2 linked regions of the Alligator mississippiensis genome follow. The protein of the gene in region 1 interacts with the protein of each later gene in a pairwise test. Links are inferred from orthologs where the notes say so. Each region holds a gene or a part of one and is shown on either strand. Other genes may lie near its edges.

What was found. The genes of interacting proteins can lie anywhere in the genome.
Region 2: the proteins of AGTRAP (region 1) and MIEF2 interact in binary tests that used the Homo sapiens proteins (3 or more experiments, as listed by UniProt). The two-hybrid records come from large-scale screens. The link is inferred for Alligator mississippiensis from reciprocal best matches to the Homo sapiens genes AGTRAP and MIEF2.

The regions. Positions count from the first base shown.
Region 1 is NC_081836.1:12,388,884-12,396,001, reverse strand, and holds the start of AGTRAP (type-1 angiotensin II receptor-associated protein), read right to left. Parts: upstream 4,502-7,118; 5' UTR 4,445-4,501; coding exon 4,418-4,444; intron 1-4,417. UniProt on the Homo sapiens protein: Appears to be a negative regulator of type-1 angiotensin II receptor-mediated signaling by regulating receptor internalization as well as mechanism of receptor desensitization such as phosphorylation.
Region 2 is NC_081836.1:55,064,432-55,071,549, reverse strand, and holds the start of MIEF2 (mitochondrial dynamics protein MID49), read right to left. Parts: upstream 4,682-7,118; 5' UTR 4,569-4,681; intron 4,525-4,568; exon of another isoform or gene 2,941-4,524; intron 1,439-2,940; 5' UTR 1,431-1,438; coding exon 1,284-1,430; intron 199-1,283; coding exon 27-198; intron 1-26. Other genes in the region: FLII (protein flightless-1 homolog), read left to right, coding at 4,981-5,043, 6,163-6,273, 6,812-6,883. UniProt on the Homo sapiens protein: Mitochondrial outer membrane protein involved in the regulation of mitochondrial organization.

The DNA of each region.
Region 1 (7,118 bases):
CATCGGTTAGCATAATTAGACAGGGTTTGATTTTTTTTTTTTATAACTGTCTATACCAATATTGCAGTCATTAAGTTACAGCGCAGGCTTTGCCATGGGGATGAAAGAGGGTCATAGCAGTGGTACACTGGGACTGAATGCAAGAGAGGATCATCTTCTTCCTCGTTCCTAGCCCAAGTTACCAGACAGCTATCCTGGGACTCAGGGAACTATGCAGTGGTCTCAGTGCAGCTCAGAACAGAGCCGCAGACATCACGGGATGGAAGGAATATGCTTTTCAGAGCGATTTTCGCCTTGCCACATAAAGCAAGTTGTTTTGCAGACAGACTCCCGCTGAGAGAAGTGGGAGGGACTGGCTTCCTTTCTTTTTCCTCAAGGATTTAATCCCAGATTTGAGAAGCACTGAAATTTCTTCCTCTACAGAAAGGAACAGCTTTAGTGAGCCCCAAGTGAGATCTGAGAGAGATATCATGGGTAGGGAGGCTTTTTATGAACATGTCTCCCTCCACCTGCCCTTGTAAGGGTCCCAGGTGGAGGGGAAGGATGGGCATGTACAAACCACTGACCTGGAAGCCAGCCTGGTCTGTGGTCAATTCCTGGTTCCACCATTCTTTTCTGCACGTGGCCTCGGACAAACAACTTACTCCCTCTGAACCTGGGTCCCTGTGTGCTACGTGGGGGACTGTATTTCCCTTCCTACTTGGTTTATTTTGTTCTAGTCAAATTGTAACCTCTTGAGATGGGAACATTTCTGATGATGTCCTTGTTCCCGTACAAACACAAAAGGGCTCAACTCTCACGGGAAAGGGACTCAAGTGAACCTGTCTCTAAGTTCTTCACCTCCGGCAGACAATTCTTCCTTGGAATCATCTGGCTGCCTTGGCCAGCTGGATTCTGATCTGTGGGGGACAAGTTAGCTCACGAAAAAAGCAGGCCAAGCAAGCCTACTGTAAGCGTACTGTGAATGACCTTCCCTGCCACTGGAAGCCACCCTGCTCCTCTCCCATGCTGCCTTATCCACCTCGATTTGTGAGCTGCCTTACCAAAAGTGACAGGGGTGTAGGTTGTAGCTGTGTTGGTCTAAAGACACAGGCAGACAAAGTTGTTTGGGTAAATCTGATATCTTTTATAAGACCAACTTAAATAGTTGGAAAATAATTTTTTTAGCAAGCTTTTGGGTTTAAAAACCCTTTGTCAGGCTGAGGAAGCCTCTGCAGTTAGTGTGTGCTCTTCCTGGATGGAATGAATAGTAAAGAAGCCAGAGGCTGGGCTGGCCTGCATGCAAGACAGGCAGTTAGTGAAGATGTAAATTGAGGAGTCAGTGGGTGAGAGAGGCAGGGGAAGTGGGGGATGAATGTAATTTTTTTTTCAACTATTTAAGTTGGTCTAATAAAAGATATCAGATTCACCCAAAGAACCTTGTCTGCCTATTACCCAAAGTGAGACGCTGCAAACTGTGGAGAGATTAGAAGGCATGTAGCTGATTTTAAGCAAACTCAGCATTGTTAACTGTTTAGATTCAGGACAATGACAGTGCAAGCCTTCATATCCTGTTTTGGGCTGATCCGTTCAGGTCACAAGGGAGACTTTTCAGCTGAGAGCATGCACCATGTTGGCCCCAACAACACAGGGCCACGTGCTCTCTCATGACAGCCTGGGTGCCCCCACCCCCCGAGCAGCTCAGAGGCTGGGACTTCTCTGAGTTGGCTGAGCAGCAGGAAACACAGCAATGCTACAACTGCCTTTCTGAGCCACCCTTCTCCCTTGCTGCCCCCAAACCTCCAACCCAAGGAGTTTTAAGCCAGCAGAAGGGCAGAGGGGAGACATCTCACTCCTCCAAGCTCAGCCCAGCCTGAGACGAGACCTGGCCAGTGGCCTTCCCAAACTGAGGTGTCAGCAACATCTTATCTTAGTTGCTGCAGAGACCGGAATTGGCACAAGAACAACTCCTATATCACTGCTGACCCAACTCACACAAGGACATCCTGACCGTGATTCCTTGGTCTCACAGCACCTGGCATGGCCCCAGGTCGAGAGAAGACAGAAAGCAGAGATGAAATGCTGTATAAGGATGACAGGAGAGGGGGGAAGGCTTCCTTGGAGAGGGCGCAGGGACAGCAGTCAAGCAAGGACATGCAGAACCAGTGGCTGGACAACACTTGATGCAGCGTTCCTGCCCAGTCCACAACCCCACGTAGCTTTGCCCTGAAACGTAAGGGGCACTCGGCGGTTCCAGCCAGGGGCCCTCTCCTCGCGACTCCACCAAGACACCATGAGCATGGGGACTCTGCACCCGCACCCCCTGGCAGGCCCATGCAGGGATTTTGTGTCTATAGCAGTCTGCCACCAGAGCAGCACACACCCACAGACAACGGGCACCGGGAGGCATCTATTCCACATCTTGACTGTTTGGAAAAACGAAGCTCCATGCTCTTTTGCTGGGGTGTACTGAAAGCAGTGATGCAACCTTTAAACCAGCAGAATGCAAAAGCTGCTGCCATGTACGCAGCTCGGTGAGGAGCAAGGCTATTATGGCCAAAGGGTCCGCTCCTTGAAATCCTTGTAGGTGCCCTCTCCTGAGGGCCTTCTTTATTGCAAATTCCCAGTGCTTCACCTCAAAGCAGGGGAATAAGACATCCTCCCCACTGAGGCTCTGACAATGTAGCATATTGCAAGCACCAGCATCCTCTATAGCAACACATTTCCATGGCAACAGCACCCTTGAGCACTGAATGACCAGCCCCAAACTGGTGAGCTGCTGTCTGGAGTGCTGAGGGCGGCAGACTTCCAGATGGCAATGGGCCTGTGCTTCTCCACATGAAGGGGGACCCACAGGCAGCTGTGCCCCTGATGTGGCTTGGGGTTGCTCTTCTTGCAAACACATCAGCCAATGATCTGCTACAGCTGTTGCCCATCCGCAGTCTGCACTGCCATCCGTTCCTATTAGGTAGTGTGAGCTCCCCTGAGCAGAGAATTGGAGCTCCACAGAGTAAAACCAATCCAGGAAAAGTTCATCTAGTGGCTAATCCACTTTCAGACCTTCACCCAGCTCAGGGGAGCAGCACTGGCACCCACAGTCGCCCACTCTTGCAATGGCAAACATAGCTGCAGTAGCCTCTGCATATTAAGGACTGCTAGGGTTGTGGGGCGCAGCAGCATCCCCTGCACGCTGACTGCCAGCAGTTCAAACACGACGCTAGCTTGCAAAACTGCACGGGAAGCAAGAGAGGGGGAACAGCAACCCTGGGTGTTTGCCAGTCCCAACAGCAACACACAAGGAACAACCCTGCGTGCAGAGAGCCTGGTCGCCTGTGGCACCTACCCAGGATGCTGCGCAACCGGCACCAAGCAGCTGAGCTGATCCAAAAGGAATTGGGCGCGTGAGGTGAGGCGGCACAATTGTTTTGGAGTTACTCTGCAAAAACACCTCCACAAACGCAGACAACCCTCATGCGGAGCTCCAGCCCCCCAGCCAGGTGCCTGGACGCCAGACAAACTCAGTCAGAAGCCAGTTCAAGAGCACTCAAGCCTTTTTTTCATCTCCCCTCTCCTAGGAAGGACACGCTTCTCACTAAGGTGTTGATTCGCACTTACACTTGAGGGAGCCTCTTTTTCTGCACAGCCCTGGCCCGCAGCTTTTCAGCAGGGGCTTCAAACCCTGCAGGTTAAAAAATATCACACGCACCAAGGTTTAGTGATCAAAATCTAGCGGGGCATGGTGACCTTCCTCAGAGACAAGCCTTGCCCAGCACCACCCTATCTGAAAACTTGGCAAAGGTTGAGCTTGGCAAAGGGCAGCTCTGTTAGGAAGCAAAACAAACCATCCGCTGCGTCTCACAGCCTCCAGGCTCTTAACGCCGGGCCTGAAAGTAGCATCTGTGGCAGGACTAGGTTAATAACTAACAGGGTTCATGTTGCAAGAATGCATTTGAAATGCTGCCTGTTCCCCCCCGGTAGGAAGTTTGCCTGTTTCCTGATGTTCTGCAGCGCAGGGGCAGAAACACGCACGTGACAGAAGCGTGACAAGCGTTTCAGGAAGTCCCTGGCTCCCGCGCTCGCCCCCCAGCACCCAGGGCCCCAGCACCCCACTCATCGCTGAGCATCAGGGGTGCAGGGGGAGGAGGCCTGGACCGCAGCCAAGAGTCCTGCAAGCACCAAGGGCCTGAAGAAGAAAGCAAGTCTGAAGGCTGGACTGTGTGAAACCACTGCGCTCCTCCTGCCCTGTCCTCATCTCCACTTGCGCCCACCGCTGCCCCCCACCCTCCGCAGGGAGGACCTCCCGTGGCAGCCGCAGGGAGCGGCGCCGGAGGGGTGAAGTCCGGGCTGGAAGCAGGCGGCGCTCTCCGCTCGCTCGCCCGCCCGCCCGCCGGGAGGTGCCGTCCCGTCCCGTCCCCCCTCGCCCTGCCCTCGCCCGCACCTTGAGGTTCACAGCGGGGACCTCCATGCTGCCGCGCGGGGACCCTCCGCCTCCCGACTCGGGGCGGCTCCGCCCGCCGCCCGCGCCGCCCCGTGACTCCCCGCGTGGGGCCGCCCGCTTCTCCCGCCCCTCTACAGCCGGCCTGCAGAGAGAGGCCCCGGGGAGGTGGCAGCCGGCCCCCCCCGGGGGTAGGGGAGATGGCCAACAGCCAGTGCCTGAGGGTGCCCCACGCTGGCTGTCACCCACCCACAGCCTGCGCTTCATTCATGTGCCACCCCAGGAGGGACACCAGCAGCACCCACCCCACCCATGCAGGAGCCACAGCCGCAGAGCTCTGGTGGGGAAAGGCAACCAGGACACACTTCAAGGGGCAGCCGGCACTTTCGCACCCTGGCCACAGCTGTGCGGGGCTCTGCACACCTGCAGTCGCTGGTGGATCGGTCCCTTTTGGTAACAGGAGCAGCGTGTGCTTTCACTGGGAACGGGGAGAGGTTCCAGGACAGGCCCCGTGGAGGCTGCGTGTGTGCATACTCATGTTTCCCATGTGACTGCGCATCCTTCTACCTTTGTGTGTTTTAGGCCGCAAGCCTAATACTTACCTGGCAGAGGAAACGCTGTGTATCTGGTCCAGGAAGGCAGTTTTCCTTAAGTATTCCCCGAGAGAACTGTTCTTCTGGCGTGGTTTTGTACCCACGAGGTGTTGGGGCTTAATGCCCACTTTATGGAAATGGGAGGCTGCTCCCTACCTTGCTGCTGCGGCCATATGGCTGCGGGCAGGCAAAACTTGGGGGCATCCGAACGCCAGGCCTCCGGGCTTGGGCCTGCACATAGGGTGATAGCCAAAAGACTTTGGAAATATCTGAAGCTCCAGGCGGGGTGGAGGATGTTTGCTGGGTGTAGGGCCACTTACAGTTCTGGACTGACTCACAGATTTGGACTTGATTTGGCTTGGAACATGAAAAATTTCTTTTAAAAAAACTGTTTTAGGCCACAAGCCATCTGGATCCTAAATCCCCTTTGCTAGAGAAATACCTCTTGTGAAGAGATGAGAAAGCTCATGCCACACCTAGGGTGCCCATTATAGAGGACACTCTGAAATGAATTTCAGCTGCTTTCAAATTTGTTTTCTGCTACTCTGTCCTCTATTGATATGAAACTGGACACCTTTGTCCTCTATTTTTCTCTTGAAGACTGGCAACCAGACTGTCCTCTATGATGGCCACCCTAGCCACACCCCTTCCCAGCCCTCCCACAGTGAGACCATTTCACAGCTTTCAGCAAGGCATGGGGGAAACAGGAATGAATCCATCCCCCACTGTGAAAGAGGTTCATAGCAGACAGCTAGGCAGGGATCAGAGTTCCCAGTGTCCCACTCACTTAGCCTATGGTCTGACTTCTGGACTGGATTTCACCCTGAGTCATTTTAGAGAGAATATAAAGGATCAAAGAGCATCATCTTCCTCACCTGACTTTCCTTGTCCTGCAGACACTTAACTCACCTGCCTCTGCAGACGGAAATGCTTTAATTGAATCAGCTGCTCCTTGCAATCCCATTTCACAGCAGAGATGAAGCCTCTGAGAAATAAGAGTCCCGAGTTCCAACGGAAGCAGAATGGGAAGTGGATGAGTCATATCGTAATCTGGTTTACTGTTGAAGTGTTGCAATGCAAGGCTATGCAGGAAGCACTGGGGAATCCAGGACAATAGTTAATTTAGAACCAATGATCTTCCCAGCAGACACAATTTTTGCCCTACTTGACCTGCCTGTCATTGCATCTATAGTCCCCCTGGTTGCTGAAGTCATTGTGTTTTGGGATCTAGAAAATGCTAATCAAATGCCAAAGTGAAGTGACCTGTTATTTATAAGGTGCTAGTCTACTAAATGCCACACAGAGAACTGAGATCATAAACAGCAGAGCCAGCAAGTGAGAAGAGGGCTCAGCACAGGGCAAGTTTACTTGAGAAATGTATTGCTACTGCTGTTTAGTTACACCTGGACTCTTACAAGGCAGGATCTGTGATAGCCCCAGAAGATCCCCAACCAGCAATAATTTCATAGACATTAGGGCTGGAAGGGACCTCGGAAGATCATCGAGTCCAGCCCCCTGCCCAAATGATGATGATAATGAGCTAACCTAGCTGCACAAGTCCTCTGAGCAAGCTCCTATTGTACCAGTTTTCCCCAGAAGAGGTAGAAAATGTCTCCCTTGTTGGTACGTTCCACTTGGGTGATAAGCTGCTTCTCACTTCCCCATTTCCTACAGAGCCTCGGTCTACCCACAGAAACAGATGGCCAAGACTTTCAGAAGCAGCTGCTGATTTCAGACACTCAGCATGACACAGCTTGAACGGCCGGATCTGATCTCCCACGGTTCTGAGAACCCATCTCCTGGGAATCCGGGCCGTCAAATGGTGAAGATGAAGTCCCAGGATGGAAGCAGCAGACACTTCACCTGCTAGTCACCCGGTATAGACAGACTCATATTGGAAGTTTTCTCTTGTCCCTTGCAGGGCTTTGGCCCAGGTTGAAAGCATGATTCAGTAGAAATGCTCAGGTGATTATGGCTATTTGCACGTCTGATCCCTTTACCAACCAGAGACTAAATAACTGATTTATTGTGGCAACACCTGGGGAATCACAGCATTGGGGAAAGGACAGTATCAATTTAGAGACACATTCCTGCTGCAGTCTGGTCATGTT
Region 2 (7,118 bases), about 43 Mb from region 1:
AGCTTGGGAAAAGCAAGGACACTGACCTTGGGCAGGCTGGGTTACAGGCAGAGGCTCGCTGAGGTCCTCCCTGCTTGGCTTCTTGGGAGGCTTCTGCGGTGCCTTGAGCAAATTCAGATCCTGCCAGCTCTCCTCAATGGACTTCTGCTCTGCTTTGGCATCGTCCTCGTCGGGCGAGCTGGTGGCTCGGTCAATCATCTGGGGGCGGGGATGGGAGAAGGAAGGTATGCAAGTGTATTGCTGCTCCTGCCAGCTATTATTATCCAAATGACTAAACCCACCTCAGCAGCTAAAGCATCCGTCCTACCAGAAACTAGTCGGTCTACAGACATTTTCCATGCTAGTGTTTATTGTAGTACTGGAGGTTTCAAGACAGAAAGCAGCAGTATTGGAGGTGTCCTCACACTCCACAAGCCTCACATCCGCTATGGAGAGAGCCTCAAAGCTTGTGGAGGGTGCAACAAAGGCTAAAATCCTCCAGGATTCATTGGTACTGTTCTCAAAATGCCTCAGATTGGGATTCATGCTTGTCTCCATGGATCAGCTCTGCTGCCTTAAGAAAGTCACAGAGTTTGCTAGGTCTTATTCAAGCTGTAAAGAGTAGGACTTTCCCCCACGGAGCCTCTCGTGTGTGCACAACACAGGCAACCCACTCAGACACCTGCCCTTCCTTCAAATGAAGGGCTCTGGCACCCCATATCGTCAAAGCCAGGAAGGTAGAAGGGGATGCCCAAGGATCATTGTCTCTAACAGAAAGACATATTGCCACAACAAGCAACATCTGGAGATGCTCTAGCCCCCCAGGGCTGAGCAAGATCCTCTCAATAGCTTCCCACAAAGCAATGCCCATCCCCCAGAGGGACACCCATTGGCTTTGGTGATCCTTGGCATGCCGGGACTCTACAGGCTCAGGTCAGACTGTTTGAGGGAGACCAAGAGCCGCTGGAAAGAGAATCTGACTTGCCAAACTGCCCTGAGGTCCAGAAGTTGGCATGGCAGCACAGGGTACCAAGCATGGCAGCAGCCCACAGCTCTGAACACAGCGGTGTGGTCTAGCCCAGCAGTGTTACAGCCTTGAATGGGTCACCTGCTCTGCTCCCCTGGTGTGGTGGGGGAGGTTTGGGGAAAGATGCACTGGAAGATCTCACCCCTTTGCAGCTTGGAGCCATAGCTCTCATTGCTGGTAAGAGGCAGCTACTCCCAGCCCAGGCCCAAGCCCCAGATTGACAATACCCAAGACCCGACTTGCCGATGCCATTCCAGAGGGAAGCAGCCAGCCTTACCCGTTTCACCACCAGAGTCGCAATGGCCAGCACAGCAGCACCGCTCACCCCCAGCACCAGCCTGGTGTTGGCCAAGAGGAAGTCGATGACACTGCCCAGCCCACGGTCGTCCTGCCTCTTCCCCTGCTTGTGTATAAACTCAGCCATATTCTACTCTGCAGAGAGGAGAGAAACGTGCAAGACAATGAGCTGCTGCTGAGTCCCACGGGCCTGTGGGACCATTCAAGGACACTGGCAATCACGGACATCTTCCCAATTCTTTCAAGGGGTGTGGTGAACACGTACTGCTAGACTGGACAAGTGAATAGAAGCGTGTAGGTTGCAAGCCCTGCGGGGAACAAAGCAGACCCAGAAAAGCCATCTCTGGGGCATGGACAGATCCAACACTTACCCTAGTATAACCCACTGTAGAGGACAAATGACAACTCCTTGAACTGGAATAACATCATCCAACCTGATGGAGGATGACCCCTGGAAGAGTCAAGCCAAGAGCAAGCTACACCAGTTTAGAGTTTGTCTGAGTCTGTCCACAACTAGCCATTTGCTAGAGATTTCAAACGGGCTAGCACTGAGGACCTGTAGCAGTCATCTACTGCATGGGCCACCCTGAGATAACCGCATGTCTGTCTGCTCCTGAGCCTGGTATAATGTGCTTCAGTCCATAAGTGGACATGCATTACACCTAACCTTAGGCCTGTTAGTTCCTCATACTCCCTTTCTTGGCTCTACATCATTCCACCTCCATCACCAGCCACTCCCCACCCCCCCCACACACACACTCTTCCTTCCTGCCTTCTTAGACTCAGTCTCTCCCACTCCCCTTCATGCCTCCACAACCAACATACCGTTTGCTATGACAGCCCTACTTATCAACACTACAGACACTGTAAAAAGATATATTACAACAGGAACACCAAGGCCTTCACAGGTTACTGAATCCATGCACCTGGTAGTGCAACAGCAGGAAAGGGGCACAAAGAGGAGGGCAGGGAGCAGATTCAGGCCGACCTGGACAGGTTGGATCAATGGGCAGAGAGAAATAGGATGCAATTTAATAAAGATAAATGTAAGGTACTCCACCTGGGAAGGAGGAACCCCCGGCACACCTATAGGTTGGGGAGTGTCCTTCTCAGCAGCTGGGAGGCAGAGAGGGATCTTGGAGTCATAATTGACTCCAAGTGTAACGAGGCCATCAACAAGGCCAATTGCACCTTGTCTTGCATTAGCAGGTGCATGACTAATAGATCAAAGGAGGTGATGCTCCTCCTCTATGCGACACTGGTCAGGCCGCAGTTGGAGTACTGTGTCCAGTTTTGGGCGCCGCACTTCAAGAGGGACACGGGGAATCTCGAGAGGGTCCAAAGGAGGGCCACTCGCATGATTAGTGGCCTTCGGGAAAGACCCTGGGGGGGAGGTTGAGAGAGCCGAATCTCTTCAGCCTTCACAAGAGACGGCTGAGGGGAGATCTTGTGGCCGCCTATAAATTTATTAGGGGAGGTCAACGGGGAATAGGTGATGCACTGTTTACTAGGGCACCCCAGGGACTGACTAGGAATAACAGGTGTAAACTAGTTGAGAGTGGATTTAGGTTAGATATTAGGAAGAAATTTTTCACAGTAAAGGTGGCCAGGATCTCCAAGAGAGGTGGTGCCATCACCTAGCTTGGAAGGCTTCAAGAGGAGGCTAGATAGTCATCTGGATGGGGCCATCTGACCTCGGTCCTCTTTCCTGCCTGGACAGGGGGTCGGACACGATGATCCATTGTGGTCTCTTCCGACTCTGCAATCTATGAAAGATACATCTTCCTCAGTTCTCTAAGGAAAGAGAGGTATCTAGTGCAACCGGATTTTCAGACTCTCATTGCTGCGAATTAACTGAATTCAAGACAGGGTTCAGCTCCAGCTCTCAGATAAGAGCTTGGCCTGTCTGTGGTAGTAAAGTGGGATGTCGGGAGTCCAGGCTCCAACATAGCCCAGGCACTTGTGAGTCAGTGGGACAAGTCACAGCCCTTGCGAGCACTTCCTTGTTTTGCAGAAGAGACAAACATGCAATAGTCCGGGGAAGGTGGAATATTTATGAACTGTAGACAAGGTGCTGGGTAAATACGGAGTATCATTAGCCATCAACAACCACAGCGTACACGGCCTTCCTTTAAGATCGGTGTGGAGATTGTGAAACTTCAATGCGGGGCAAGGTCCGTTCCAGATCATTTGTGTAGGCATCTTACTTCCTGCAGCCAGCAAAGCAAGCCAGGCCCCGGGCTCTACAGGCAGCATCAAGTGGCAGTTTGTTCTAACCCCCAAAGCCCCTTCTCCACGGCAGTCCTCTCCTTTCCCAGTTGTAGGGGCAGAGCACAGCGTTTCTACCCCCCAGCCCAGAGCCACTTCAGGTCCCTCTGCGAATGTCACAGCTCGAGCCCCGACAGGGTTGGAAACCTTAGGAATGACTCACAGATGCAGCATGGGAGTCACCCCCCAAATATGACTCCGCTTTGCTTGCAAGCAATGTCGCCATGGGAAGAGAAAAGCTGCAAACAACAGTGGAGGTGGGGATTAGAGGGTATTAGGAGCTCAGTGCCAGATTCCTGTTGGTTTGGGGCAGTTTGCCTATTATAGCCAAGACAGGTGCCCTGGTACCATGTACGCCTTGCAGCTAAGCAGCAACCCAGCGCCGAGCAGGCCTGTGCTGGGTGCATCTCTGAAACAGCCTGGAAGCTGGAACGCACAGCAGCGGAAAGCTCGTGAGGCCCCAGAAGGGCAAAAACACTAGATCCCAGGATCAACAGGGCTCTGAAAAGCTATCACTCCTTGAGGTGTGCTCATTAAGGGACAGAAACTAGCCCCTTCCAGGACGGGTCTCTTATACGAGCGGACGCCCCGACCAGGATGGTGCTGCGGCATGTGTTCACAGCAGTGCCCTGCACCAGGCCCAGGGCCTCCCCCGACTGCAGGAAGGAGGCTCGACCCCAGGCCGGGCACAGCCGCACGGACTGATGTTTCCATGCAGAGCAAGCCAGCGGGCAGGGCAGGAGCAGGCGGGGGAGGCCGACCGGCTCAGGGAAGCAAGAAGCAACTGCTTCCCCCCATTTCCGCTCCGAGCAGGGGCAGTACTGGAGCTCCCTCCTTCCCCGCCTGACCTCAGCTCCGGGCCGGAGCGGAGGGGACGCGGAGCCCAGTCCCGCCCGGGGAAGGGAAGGGACGGGACGGCCTCCCCACTGAAGACCAAGGGCTCAGCCCAACCCTCGAGTCACCATCCCCACCCGCGGGCCGCCCCGGCCGCACTCACCTTCCCTCTGAGCCCCGGCAGGGCCCGTCCACGGGACAAACCAGCACCTCCACAGCACGACCCCGGCGCTGGCAACAATGTAGCGGCGGCAGCCAATGAGCGAGCGCGGCCGCGTTGCAACGTTCCGGAATGGAACGTGCGTCACAAAGGGGGCAGGAACCCGGCGGCTCCTGGCCTTAAAGCCGCAGCGCCCCTATTTCAGCGGGAGGAGCGGCGCGGGTTGCTCGCTGTGCTCGGCGCTGTCTGGCGGCGGATCGGGATCGGGGTCGGGATCTCGCCCCTCCAGCCCCGGCGCGGAACGAAAGCCTCCAGCCCCGGCGCGCGGGTCCGCACCGAGACGCGGCGGCGAAGGGGTTAAGGGCGGGCGGGCCCCGCTTCCTGCGGGCGACGGCTGTCGCGGGCCGGCGGAGCCATGGCGGCCACGGGCGTGCTCCCCTTCATCCGCGGCGTGGATCTCAGCGGCAACGACTTCAAGGTACCGCGGCGCTCATCCTCCCTCGCGGCTGCCCTGCCTGCCATCGAGGGCCGAGCCCAGCCGGTGCCCGTCACGGTGCGATGAGCAGGCCGGCGGGGGAGGACCCACCCGGGTGCTATATTTGGGTGCCGGAGGGTGAGGTCAGGCCGGACTCTCCCCTGGCTCGTCCCCCTGCGCAGCTGGTGCCTCCCCGGCCAAGGGAGCGGGGCGAGACCCAGGTCCCACAGCAGTGCCACCGCGCTGGGGTCTGCGGGGGTGGGTGCAGGGTGGCTGTGCCCTGCAGCTGCTGGGACTGGGGGCCTCGGGCTGTCCCCGCCACACCCGCAGACCTGGTCCGGACGGGGAGCGGAAGGGTTGGGATGGGCCACCGTGCCACCCTGCCACCCCCACCTCTCCTTCTGGGGCGTCCGGAGGCGGGCGAGTCTCTTCCATCTGAAAAGCCATCTCCCTTGTGACCCTGGAGGGTGTGCAGGCCTGGCTGTGTCCTTTGCCATCCCGGATGGGGCTGGCCGTTCTCCTGGGATGCATTTTTGGGGCCGGCATCATCTCTGGGACGAGTTTCATATGACTTTTGCCTCTTCCCGGACTGAGTGCTGCTGTGCTGGGTGTCGCTTCCCCATGATTATCCTCCTTGGGCACGCAGCACCCAGTGGGAGGGTGTACGTGGCTCCTGGTCCGTCCTGCTGTCTCCTGGGGGCACACGGAGCAGTGCTGGGGTGGGCAGGAGGAACCGGGATGGATGCTTTGTGTAGGGCACTGGACTCACCTGCGTGCCCCCTCCCAGTCCTGTGTCTCCGGGAGCTGCAGGCCGTGCCCCAGCAGCTGAGAGCCCTAGAAGGGAAGGCAGCTACTGCCAGACCTGGGCTGCTTAGCTGGGCAGGATGACGCACGGCTCTGCTGGTTCAAGGCACAGGGAGCCCTGCTTCTGTGGCCGACAAGGCCCCGTGCACAGGTGGAGCTGCCTGCAGCCTTGTCTATGTGGGCAAGACCCCTGGTCAGCCTCACAACAGCGAGAGGGCCGGGTTGGGGCACTCACCTTCATGCAGGAGGCTATCCTGGGCAGACGAGGGATCTGGGACCCACTCCTCTGCCACAAATGCTTCCTCGCATCTCTCCCAGGGCGGCTATTTCCCAGAGCACGTGAAATGTATGACCAGCCTGCGATGGCTGAAGCTGAACCGCACGGGCCTGTGCTACCTCCCGGAGGAGCTCTCTGCACTCCAGAAGCTGGTAAGGACGGTGCCTGGATGCCGGGCACGCTCCCACAGGGTGGCTCCCCTTAGGGCTGGCGGTGCAGGGAGCTTCGAGTAAGGACAGGAGCTTGAGACACGGGCATTTGAGAGCCAAGGCATGGGCCTGGCAGAAGGTGAGTGGGAAGGCAGGTGGGAGGCAGTGGGGGCTGCCCGATCAGTGTCCTGGCATGTGCACACACGTGTGCACAACCGCCCCTTTGCTTTCCAGTGTCAGCTGAGAGGGGGGCCACCCAGCCAAGTTGGGCCCCTGGCACTGACACAGCTCACCCAGCTGGTGCCTGGGGCAGCACCATAAGGCTGGCAAAAGGGCTGGCCAGGAGGAGCCAGCACCTGCTCCTATGCTGATGGCAGGATCTGACCCCAGCTGCAGCTGCAGCTGTGAAAGGTGCCTGGGACCTGACCCAGGCTCACCGGAGCATGTGGGTTGACTTTCGAGGGGGCTTCTTCGGAGCTGATGGTGTGCAAGTCTCACTGTGTCCCTGGCTCTTCTCACTGCCTCTCTGGCTTCCACACAGGAGCACCTGTCTGTGAGCCACAACAGCCTGACCACACTGCATGGAGAGCTCTCTGGCCTCCCCTGCCTTCGGGTAAGTGCCCTTTGTGCCCCAACGCCCCCCGTGCAGGCGCTAGGGGCTTGGTGTCCAGCTACGTGGGCAGCCTCACCTTCGGCCATGCACAAGCCCCTTCAGCACAGCCAGGACTAGGGAGCTCGCTGGCCTGGTCTGCAGTGACATCCAGCAGGTGCCACGCAGCAGGGAAAGGTGGAGCTGAGTGTCCCAGGCCCCCGGCTGGGCTGAGGCTGGACCAGGCCACTGTGCCCAC